3 linked regions of the Nothobranchius furzeri genome follow. The protein of the gene in region 2 purifies or fractionates together with the protein of the main gene of each other region. This does not show direct contact. Links are inferred from orthologs where the notes say so. Each region holds a gene or a part of one and is shown on either strand. Other genes may lie near its edges. The genes, in order: map3k8, tnip2 and tank.

Region 1 (4,335 bases), on a different chromosome or scaffold from region 2:
CTTCCACGAAGTACGCACATGCACACACACACACACACACACACACACACACACACACACACACACGCACACATTGTTGAAAAAAATAAGTGATTTGTGAATACATGTACAGAAATCTAAAGAGCAGCTGCAGGAAGGTTTTATTTCTGTTCTTGCGTGAGAGGAACACGTCCTTTTAAGGGCACTCGGTCCTGTTCCTCTAGTGAATGTGACTCACAGCATCCGCACAATCCTGGAAGTAGCTGTGTCAATAAAAAGCTGCTTCTGGCGGCATAGAGAAATACACGATAGGGCTGCTCGATTATGGCAAAAATAATAATCACGATTATTGTGACTGAAATTGAGATCTCGATTATTTAGGACGATTTTTCAATTTATGTTGATTTTATTTGTTTTTATTCAGCCATAAAATTGCTCAGGGCACAATCAGGACAAAAATAAATAAGAAACAAGATGATCACTAAAATAACTCCTGATTCCCAGTATAAACAGACCAATATACTTATAGCTCATAGTCTATGACCCAAGGGCTATAGACCTTGGTTTAACTCATTTAAGTCTAACCAGTACAGACCCAAATACCAATATCCTGCAAATACTGACAGTAAGAATTATACAGTGGCATTTATAACAAATACATGCAAATAAATTGATGTTCACAAAATCTTGCATAACATTTACTGAGTCATCTCAAGGTGCTGTAGGAGAGTGCACTAGCACCGTGTCCTCAGAGAGATTAGTTATTAGTTATCAGCGTGAGGAACTTGTTTCTACCTTATTTATAAACTATTTATTTACAATCCATCAGTTAATGTAATAATTGTCCCAACCACAGCTGCACCCCCCACCCCCCAACCCGGTCTCAGCCATCGGGGCAAGCTGCACGTGTGTTTAGCACGCCGTACACCAGGGGCGTGTCCAGGGAGTGGCCTGGGGTAGCACATGCCACCCTTGGAATCTGATTGGCCACCCCAGGAGCCACCACACTAATTTACTTTAAATGGGCTTTTCATTGTCCACAAAAGGCTTGGGGGTAAAACAAAAAAGCATAACCATTGGTGCCACCCATGCATAAAGTTGTGCCTCACCTGGGCCACCCCATTTTAAAAGATCTGGACACGCCACTGCCGCACGCGCACATTTAGCCGTTTTTAGCGGCTCAGGAGTCCGCAGGTGCGGTGTGTGTGTCACTCACTCTGGTTGACCCAACAGGGAGCCGGCCCTGAGAGCCGTTTCTTTAGCGACCGACAGATCACTACATCATTCCCTTTCCTAATGTCCTGAAGAACGGTCCGGAGCGCAGGCGGAGTGTTTAGCTAACCTGCAGGAAATGTCGACGACAGTTATCCAGAAAGTAGCTAAGGGTTACCAGAGATGTTTCTGAGGTGTTCGCTAGGTACTTTTAAGATTTAAAAAGTCAAGAAGGGGGTCTGAGAAGCTGTTAGAAATAGCGTCAAAGTCGCCAAGTTGGCAACACTGTGGGAGGAGCGCTTCATTTGCCTCAGGGCAGCGCAAGTGGGAGGAGCAAATAATCGGCTTGTTTTGTTTTTATAATCGGTCAAAACTCAGATCGTAATTGTGATTAAAGTTCGATTAATTGAGCAGCCCTAATACACGATGAACTGAATTCCAGTCAGACTCACCAGTTTACAGGCCATCCTCTTCCTGGTCATGGTGTCCTGGGCCAGGTGGACTTTCCCAAAGGAACCCTTGGGAACAAGGCCAGAGCCAGGATTCTTGTAGGTCAATTTCCAAGGAAACAAAAGCACATCCATGCTGACCTGATAGCGACCTTTTCTAATCGCCATATCTTTCTGAAATGGAAAAGAGAAAGATTGGAAAGTAAAAAAGCTCATGAAAATGTTTTTTATGCAGGCAAATTGAAAACTAGGCACACCTTGCTCAGGAGGACTCCCATCTCCTTACTGAGGTGCTGCAGGGCTGATGTCTGCATGTTAGACAGGAAGTTCACAAAAGACAGGAGGTCTGTCACTGTCCCATACTGAACACCCCCAATTTCATTAGCATAGTCCTTCTGCTCATCCACCAAACCTGCCTCCTCCCTCTCGCCCATCTCCTCCTGGCTGGCCTCCTCTAGCTGATGGAGCATCTCTGCTGCGTTGATAATGTCCTCTACATTCATGTGAGCCAGCAGCAGTTCTAGTCCAGTTTCATATCTGTAATCCATCTTTATGCTCAGCTTCTGCTACTCCGCCTGAATTCCTGCATCAGGAGGTGACGTTTTGGGCAAATCACCAAGCTCCTGGTCAGAAAGGAGAGAGAACAAGATCTTAGCTCGGCTCCAGCTTCAACACAACTGTCTGAACCCTGAAGCTGAAAAGGGCCTCCGAGAGCACTTCTCTATCCACATCAGGACAGTCTGGTCAAGCTGGGAAATTCCAGAAACCCGTGGAGGACTCGGCTTGTAAAACCCCCCAAACAAAACAAAACAGAAAACTTTAAGGTTTAGATCAGCATTTAGTGCCTTCTAATAAAGAAATGTAAAATGTTTACATTAATTCTCCTTTTATTAATGCACTTTATATTATCTAATTGCATTAGACTGAAATACCTGCTAAAATGTTGTGTTTATAAGTAAACATTCTCAGTATATATGTATATGTACACACACAGGCAAATAAAAGGTTATTTTAAGCGAATAAACCATCACGAGCCGGTTATTTAGGGTCAGTCGTGAATAAAAGCACTTGCCTTGGGTGTTCTCTGCGGTCTCCGGAGTCGCATCTCTCCTCCAGACTCTGAGCCCTTCTGCCGTCAGAGACGACTGTCGACTTGACTCTCGGAAGGAAGTAAATACCGGAAGTTAGAGTCCAAACACACGTAGGTATTTTTCTTTTTCTTCTCTTTTTTATTTTGGCTTTAAAAATAGGATGGATTTTTTTTCTAAACATTTGTGTTTTCTTTTAAAATGGTTACAATAAATTGTTTCAATGTTCAGTTAATGTTTTTATCCTTTTATAAATTTGACAAACCTAAAATAAAAATAATTTAGGCGATTGAGACCTTTTGGTGCCTCTTGCTTGCCGTAGATCAGAGTTTGCGCATGCGTAATCTGGCTTTTACTTGAACAACTATGGCGTCTTCCATAGCCGTTTCTCGGTTACATTTGAGGGGAAGGACCTGCTTGTTAAATTGTTTACAAAAGGTGGACACGTTTCTGCACAGGGGTGTTGGAACAGACGCTGCTGTTGCCCAAGCGCAGACAACTGAGAGAGACGGAAGTGGTTCGTACAAAGAGTTAAATAACTTTACAGGGACAACTGTTTCAAACCTCTTTAAGAAATCATGAGTTTTTGTTTCCTTGGCTCCAGTTTGCAGAGTTGATTGGATTTCTAAAGTATTGTATGTTTGTAAAATATCATCTAGGTTCAGGTAACTTTCGGCTTTGTGTTTGCCCAGGCAAATCTTAAGGAATGAAAAACAATGCGCGTTTCTGTCAGTATGCCCCGGGGCAGCTGCGTCCACAGCTCGTCACCATGTGACTGGATGAATGGTTTACAGTGGTGTAAAGCACTTTGGAGTCCGCTGACGCACATAGGCGCTCATTAAGTTAATTCATATTTGTTTTTCTTGATGTGAATGTTTGGATTTTTCTGATAGACTTAAGCCAAGGTTTGTGTTTGCACACTGATGTCTGAGCTTTTGCCTCTGGCTGGTTACATACCGTACGTGCTTCGTTTTCTGATTATTGAAAATAATCAATGCATTCATTTGAATGTGTTCAAAACAGACTTGCTTGGACTAGTGTCCTATCTGGGTTAGTCTGACCTTCATACTTTAGGGAATATTGATAAATCAGTAAATTAACAAACCTTTATTGGAGTTAAACCCCCCACACAGTTTCTCCTTGTGTCATGATAAATGATCCGCACTTGTATAGTGCCTCTCAGAGTAAGGACTCCAAAGCGCTTTACACTACAGTGTATCATTCATCCATTCACACACACATTCACACACTGGTGGCGATGAGCTACAATGTAGCCACAGCTGCCCTGGGGCGCACTGACAGAGGCGAGGCTGCCGAGCACAGGCGCCACCGGTCCCTCCGACCACCACCAGCAGCAGGCAAGGTGGGTTAAGTGTCTTGCCCAAGGACACAACAGCAGAATTCTCTGTCCGGAGCCGGGATCGAACCTGCAACCTTCCGATTACTGGACAACCCGCTCAACCTGTTGAGCTACTGCTGCCCCAGTCATAACTCTGTTAAACATCAGAAATGCTTGCCCATGTTTCGAGGCATGATGAAAGGGACTTCCTTTAGCATTCCAGGGATCAGAAGGTGCTGACGTATTGAACATCCACTACACCATACAT
Region 2 (4,283 bases):
ATAGATCATATTTATAGGAAACAACATGTTTTATTACAAAAATAACATCTACAGGAAAAAAACTAAGTCTTTAAAAATGATTTTATGTCAGTTTGGATGCATTATTTACATATACTGCTTTAAAAATGATTGAAATATTTATTTCTGCCTGTCATGTATTTAAAAATACATGTTTACACAACATTTATGGCTTAAGTTGGATATAAAAACAAGACATTGCACTGAAACAATCACTCTTTTCCAATGAGAAATACAAATAAATATTAATATAGTTAGACTTTTTAAATCTGTCATTAAAAGAATATATTTACTTAAAGAAACACTAACAATAGCACCACATAAACAATTAGGTATAAACCCAAAGTAAGAAGCTTATGCATCAATAATATTTTAATCGCATTATGATAACACAATGGTTTTTTTTTGGGCTAAATAACAAAAAAGTGCAAAAAGATTGTAATTTGACATTGAGGTATATAACATTTTAAAAACTGCATTGGCATCTTCTCTCCCCAACACAGTAATCTCCTGCAGTGCCATGGGACAACTCTGTCTGGGTGTTTGTACAGATCTAAAACCATGAACTCATTTTCTCTTGCAAAATGGAAAGTTTGGGGTTATGTTCACATCTCAAGATGTCAGTTATTTAATCTGAACCTCCACCCAGGTTGCTTCCTGCATTGTAGTGCTGCTTTACAGTGTTCAGTAGAGAATCAAAAACTGGTTTTCGTTTATAGCCGGGCGCACTCTTCAAAATGGTTCATGCACTCTGCAGCTTCTGTGTCGTTGAACCTGGCGGAGCAGTGCGGACACTGTAGTTCCGACAGACCTGGGAGTTCGTTCCAATTTGTTACGTTTGCAGCAGCAGCGTCCACTGCAGGCGGCGGCGGCCTTTCAGCAGCAGCCCTTAGCAGAGGCTCTGAGGAGTCCTTACTTCGCCTCGAGGAGATCCTGTGTCCTATGTGAACACGGCACACAGAACCCAGGTCTCTGCCTGCTCCCTGCAGAGATTTACAAACACCTTGTCAAGCCACGTGGCTGTAATAAGTAAAAAAATGAGTGGATGCTTGTACAGAAGCATCTAAATGACGATCTGACACCTCACCTGTTTGTGGATCTGCTGCTTCAGCTGAGAAATCTGCTCCTTCAGGTCTGCGATCTGACCCTGTGCACGCGCTCTGTCGGCTCGCTCTGATTTAAAGTCGTCTGTATAAATCAAAACCTTACGGGGAAAACAAAACAACTTTGAAAATTCACAAAACGATTACGATCACTTTAAATGTGCTAATATTACATTAATACCAACCTGCTGCTCCAAGGTCTGGATTCGCTCTTGGCCTTGCCTCCTTATCTCCTCCACCTCTCTCTCCAACCTTGAACAGTCTCTTATTTTCTCCTCCAGTAAAGTGTTGAGCCTGGCGATCTCCTGATGAAGCAACACTGAGCTGACGGAGCCCTGCCCGGTGTTCTCCTTCAGCCTCTGACACAACCCTCGGATGTAGTCCTCCCTGCTTGAGTCATACTTCTGCCACTGAGAATTCAAACTCTGTACCTAAACAATGGAAATAAATAAGAAGCAAAGCTCAGCATTAGAAATTGTGTGTGCAGCTGATAACAGATTTGGTTGGAAGTAAAATTTTGCACTGAAATATAGGGGGAAATCTGTTGAAATCAAAAATACAAACGCACATAAGCTACGCGCTGCTTCAGCTGTTGGTTCTCCTCTTGAAGCTGATGAATTTGGGATTTGGCAGCACTTAGGTCAGAAGAGCTGGGCGTCTGGAATAAAAAGTCAAAAAGGGGTTAATAAATAACTCAAAAAGAGCAAAGAAGGCATTGATTTTTTATATTGTTTATATATATATATATTGAGCAAAAATATTATAAAATAAGATGAAATTGTACTTTTTGCTGCTGGGACACTTCCTCCACTTCTTCTCCGTCTCCTCCCTTCTTCTCCAGCCTGCCCAGCAGCTCCTGGCACACCCTCACTGTGGCGCTGAGCTGACCCCGCAGCTGGTCAGCTTCTTCGGCCAGCGACGTGCAGAGCACGGTCCTGGTGGCTTCGGCCCGCTGCTTCTCCTCCAGGGCTGTCCTCAGCCTGTGGATCTCCTGGTCCTTGTCGTGGTCCGGCTGACACCTGATGCTCTCCAGCTCCAGATCTTTCTCTCTGAGCTGCAGGTTCAACCTCTGGATCTCCTAGTTTGGGGGACACAAAGAAGAAAGTATGAGAAACCAACTTTTTTCCTGAAAATGACAGAAATAAATCATGCTTTTTACATATTTGAAGCTTCCTTTGGAGCTGCTGGTTTTTTACCTCTGCTTGACAGGATGCCTTGAGCTCCAGATCATCTTTCTTCTGTTTTATTTTGCACAGCTCCTTCAGTAAACTCTCCACCAAAGACTTGGAGGGACCGAGGAACACCCGCTCGTCGTCTCCCATCGTCATGCAGATCCTCTCATGCCTCCCGACCCTGGACTTTAAATCTGCGATTATATTGTCCTTTACGCAGATCTGTTTGTTGAGAAGCTCGATTTCCTGCCTCGTCTCGTGAAACAAAGTGTTTAACACGCTGTAGCTCCGCATTTTGTCCTTCGGCTGCGCCTCGTTCTCCGCCTTCAAACTACTCGAGCTATCCATCGCAATCGCAATGCTTAAAATTTGTAGATTTCGCGAAAAACGGTTTCAGTCTTTTAATAATCCAGCATTTGACGCCTCTGCCTCTTACTCTGAGTCTTTCAGAAACACACCGAGAAGGTGAATTCTGGAGGAGATCTGGCGCATCAGTGTCGAGAATATCCCCGGACGCTCTTGGGGGATTTCCTAGGGAACTTCCCCGCGGACTTTTCTGAGCGTCGTCAAAACGGAGCCTGGCTTTCAAAGACTCACTGCCGAGATCCGTTGGTAAAAAAAAGTGGAGGCTTGTCAGGCTGTTGGCACAAATTCACTGGCTGTTTGTACAAAAACACAAAACGATTCCCCTTTCTTGCTGTCTTCAGCTAGCTAGCGTCGGCTAGTTAGGCAACCAGAAAATTGATATCACTGCTGCATTCACTGCCGTCGTAAATTCGAGAACATTCAGCACAAACCAAACGAGTTCACCTGATAGAACAATCCCCACTCTACACATTTCGAATATTATTCACGTGAGTCACAAAAAATGCTAATCTAAGTTACATTTTTTGTGAACCCAGTATTTGGGTGGTGGCTTTCACCTGAAAGTATATGGCAACACAAATAGATGCTAACAAGTACAGTTTCCCAGTTACCAAACATCCCGTCCCTACCAATCACATCAGATGATTCAGTATATGAATTCCCCTCACAGTCCATTATTTTGTCCATGTGAATTTCCCCCACTGCATTTGATACTTTTTAGCTCATTATTATTATTATTATTATTATTATTATTATTATTATTATTATTATTATTATTATTATTATTATTATCTGAGTAATTCCATTTAGGCTAAACCAGAAAATTGATACATGAGTTTTGTATGGTCTTTTTTTTAATGGTCGTATGGTTCATTACTGCTTTCTTACAGCACTAAACCTGTTCCACTAATAAACCAACCTCATCATCACATGGAATCCAAGCATAACTGCACTACCAACACATGACCAATCTTTGCAACGTGTTATCAGTGAGATTACTTTCATATGACCTCATGTTTCTGATGCACTGACATTATTTGAATAATGAAAGATCAGTAAACATGCTCTTTTTTTGTTAGGCATTTCTTATGATAGCGAGTTTGATCTAATCTTTACAGGAAACGCAATGTAAATTTCTGTGGCCAAAAAAAATCTACCCCATTTCAGATTTATTCTGCTTTCACTTTTATTTTCACACCTAAATTTTTAAATATCAGACAAACTTGAGTAAATACAAAATGCAGCTTCAAATGAATAGTTTTTTTTTATTAAAGCTATCCAAACCAACTTGGTTCTGATCATGAAAAAAAATGTATTAACTACTTTATTTGGAAAGCTGAGTTCATATTCACTAGCTGCACCCAGGCCTGATTTCTGTTAGATCACAGTACCAACAGTCAAGCATGGTAGAGGTAGCATGATGGTCTGGGACTGCTTTGCTTCTTCAAGACCTAGATGACTTGCTGTAATTGTGGAAACCATGAATTCTGCTCTCTACTAGAAAATCCTAAAGGAGAAAATCTGACCTGTGACCCTACAAAAGGAGCTAATGATGGGAAAACTCCAAAGGTCCATTACATTTTCACATAAACAAGGTTGGTTAGAATAGGTTTTGGTTCTCTTT
Region 3 (3,141 bases), on a different chromosome or scaffold from region 2:
CTTTAAGTCCATCTCATGAAAAATCAGAGCAGAAACAAAGGTGTTGCGTTTATATGTTTGTTGTGTAAATACAGTAACAAAGTACTTGAACTTCGTTATAATAGTGATAAATGACCCGCACTTGAGTAGCGCCTTTCAGAGTCAGAGGACTCCAAAGCACTTTACACTACAGTGTATCATTCATCCATTTACACACTGATGGTCATGAGCTACGATGTAGCCACAGCTGCTCTGGGGCACACTGACAGAGGTGAGGCTGCCGAGCACAGGCGCCACCGGTCCCTCCGACCACAACCGTCACCGCTGGAAAGGCTGTGTACCGATGAACATTAGCGCTGATTTAATGATCAGTCTAATTTTTATAATCAGCTGATTTTCTAGCTTTTTTTAGTCCTTTTAACCCAGAATATAATTTAAACGGATCATGGAACTCCATTACTAGATCACCTAGATGTTTGCTTATATTTTAAATAAATGCACATTATTGCATGGCTGAAAATTTTCATATTCATATTAAAAAACTGCTACAGGAGTAAATACTGGTTTATTTTCTCAAATATATATTTATATGCATCACCATAAAATCTCAGTCTGATAGTAGAAAATCAATGTGAGCAAAATAAAAAAAGTGTACCATTTCAATATTAAGTATTAAATAGATGGATTCAAGTCTTATAGAAGTGTAAGTTCAGTTCCTGTACAGCGCTTCTTGGACTTCAAGGCAGGCAGGAAGTGGATCATGATGAACACAGTAAAATGTTTAAAAAGTAGTTGGGACCTTGGTCCATGAGTCTCTGCTGCCGCCGTCAATCATTGGTTTCGTTCCTAGGAGAGCAGTGCAAGAATAGGTGGCTGTTCATCCGGTTCTGAGGAACCACGGCGTTGCAGAAAGCACATTTATTCGGACTGCCGCTCTGAGGCTCCTGATCTGTCCCGATGTCGCCCGCCTCGCACAACCCAGGACTCCAGAGAGACTGCAATTTCAAAAACAATCGGAGATGTAAGCTGTTATTTATTCTTGAAACCATTTTTACACTCAAGTATGCTCCACAAACTTGGCCCTGAGGTTTAAGGATCTGTTGCTTTCAAAGTCATCCATTCTATAGTGAGAACAAACAGCAGCAGAAAGGAAAATCTATTCTCAAGTGTTTAATTATCTTCCTATTTTTGGGTTCATCCAAACTAACCAAACTGTAATTAAACGGCACAAACTTTTTCCCATCTCGTCATTCACCATTATTTATTAAAACACATCAGCAATAAAATCCTACATAGGCCCCTCATACTTGTTCCAACGTGCTTCCATCTGGCTCCCACTTTCAGGCAAAGACGCCAAATATAACCAGAGCGTCCGTGCTCAAATAAAAAAAAAGAAAAAGGAATACACACACATTACATGGTAATATGTTTCAAGTTTAGCCAAGGAGATATTTTTGGACTTCACACTGTTTTATTCCTCCATTAGCAAAGACCAATCAGAAACTGATAATTTGCTACTACTTTTCTCAGACCTTCTCCTGGGTTTCTCACCTGCTGGGGTCCCCGCACACTCTCTTGGGAGGGTGAAGAGGGTGTCGAGTGGGAGGGAGACGTGGGATAGACAAAAAGCAAAGGCAGTTCCATGGGCTTCTCCTTCGTCAGCGCCGGAGAGGTGCTGCTGGGAGGCTGCAGCTTCATGGGCATGGCCAGATTAGGATTCCTCTCTGGAGCACTGTTCAGAAAATCGTATTCACTGTCCGCAGGGGGTGGGAATTTCACACTGAGTTTGGTGAGAGAGTCTACCAAGTCCCTGTCCTCGTGAGCGGCACCACGGGATGCCAGAGATGCAGGCAGGTGAGGGATGTCCGCAGCTGCCCTTAAAGCTGAGGGAAAGGGCCTTTCTACCTCTGCGGTTCGGTCCGTACACTGGATGGGCATGGAGAACCGCTGATCTGGATAAGGAAGGAAAAATGTGATGTTCCATAGTTTTTGCTGTTTCTCATTTTATACTGGTTAAAGGACAGTTACACTTGAGACACATCTTGACAGGTTACATATACCATTAACCTTAAAAAATGTTTATTTGATTGCATTTTGCTACAATTATCTAAAAGACTTACAAATGAACCCTAACATGCATGTTTTGGCCTGTGGGAGGACACCAGTAAAAACCCACTCGTGCATTAGGAGTACACGCCAGCTCCAAGTGGAACGGCCGCTGTACAGATCTGAAAAGGTGACCTTCTTGCTAAGAGGCGACAGTGCTTATAATTGCACCCCCATGCATTTTGATACTGGTTCTCACTGGTCCACACTGTAGGTGTAGTGGTTTCCCCTGCAAATGCATTCATCAAATACCCAACAGGCTTCTGATTTTATATTTTATATGGTATAAATAGCATGCAAAGATGTAAAGAATCAGCACTAGAGATGAGACTTTGACATTTAACTAGAGGTCAACCCATGTTGGGTTTTCTATTGCTGATACTGATGGCGATGTGTAAGAGACATGGTCAGCCGATGGCTAATATGTGCAGCTGTTTTTTGGGCCGATTTTCATGGCTGATATCAAGGCATTTTTCCACCTTATTTTCATGCTAAATGTTGACCAATAACATCAGTTGATCTGGGGCTCCACGCAAGATCTCATCCCGTGGGGTCAAAATGATCATGAGAACGGTGAGCAAGAATCCCAGAACCACAAGGGGGGACCTGGTGAATGACCTGCAGACAGCTGGGACCACAGTAACAAAGGTCACCATCAGTAACACACTACAACGGCAGGGACTCAAATCCTGCAGTGCCAGACGTGTTCCGCTGCTGAAGCCAGTGCATGTCCAGACCCGTCTGAAGTTTGCCAGAGAGCACATGGATGATACAGCAGAGGATTGGGAGAATGTCATGTGGTCAGATGAAACCAAAGTAGAACTTTTTGGTATAAACTCAACTCGTCGTGTTTTGAGGAAGAAGAATACTGAGTTGCATCCCAAGAACACCATACCTACTGTGAAGCATAGGGGTGGGAACATCATGCTTTGGGGCTGTTTTTCTGCTAAGGGGACAGGACGACTGATCCGTGTTAAGGACAGAACGAATGGGGCCATGTATCGTGAGATTCTGAGCCAAAACCTCCTTCCATCAGTGAGAGCTTTGAAGATGAAA

Evidence for each region.
Region 1: the proteins of tnip2 (region 2) and map3k8 purify together in Homo sapiens (affinity purification with mass spectrometry; 3 studies listed by BioGRID and IntAct, with this or other methods). This does not show direct contact. The link is inferred for Nothobranchius furzeri from reciprocal best matches to the Homo sapiens genes TNIP2 and MAP3K8.
Region 3: the proteins of tnip2 (region 2) and tank purify together in Homo sapiens (affinity purification with mass spectrometry; 3 studies listed by BioGRID and IntAct, with this or other methods). This does not show direct contact. The link is inferred for Nothobranchius furzeri from reciprocal best matches to the Homo sapiens genes TNIP2 and TANK.

Annotation. Positions count from the first base shown.
Region 1 is NC_091747.1:30,279,763-30,284,097, forward strand, and holds the start of map3k8 (mitogen-activated protein kinase kinase kinase 8), read right to left. Parts: upstream 2,816-4,335; 5' UTR 2,713-2,815; intron 2,264-2,712; 5' UTR 2,189-2,263; coding exon 1,898-2,188; intron 1,815-1,897; coding exon 1,644-1,814; intron 1-1,643. Other genes in the region: mtpap (poly(A) RNA polymerase, mitochondrial), read left to right, coding at 3,095-3,245.
Region 2 is NC_091744.1:17,108,071-17,112,353, forward strand, and holds the start of tnip2 (TNFAIP3-interacting protein 2), read right to left. Parts: upstream 2,845-4,283; 5' UTR 2,642-2,844; coding exon 2,318-2,641; intron 2,200-2,317; coding exon 1,906-2,199; intron 1,780-1,905; coding exon 1,690-1,779; intron 1,553-1,689; coding exon 1,307-1,552; intron 1,223-1,306; coding exon 1,106-1,222; intron 1,002-1,105; coding exon 732-1,001; 3' UTR 1-731. UniProt on the Homo sapiens protein: Inhibits NF-kappa-B activation by blocking the interaction of RIPK1 with its downstream effector NEMO/IKBKG.
Region 3 is NC_091754.1:19,414,206-19,417,346, reverse strand, and holds the end of tank (TRAF family member-associated NF-kappa-B activator), read right to left. Parts: intron 1,932-3,141; coding exon 1,531-1,931; intron 975-1,530; coding exon 807-974; 3' UTR 526-806; downstream 1-525.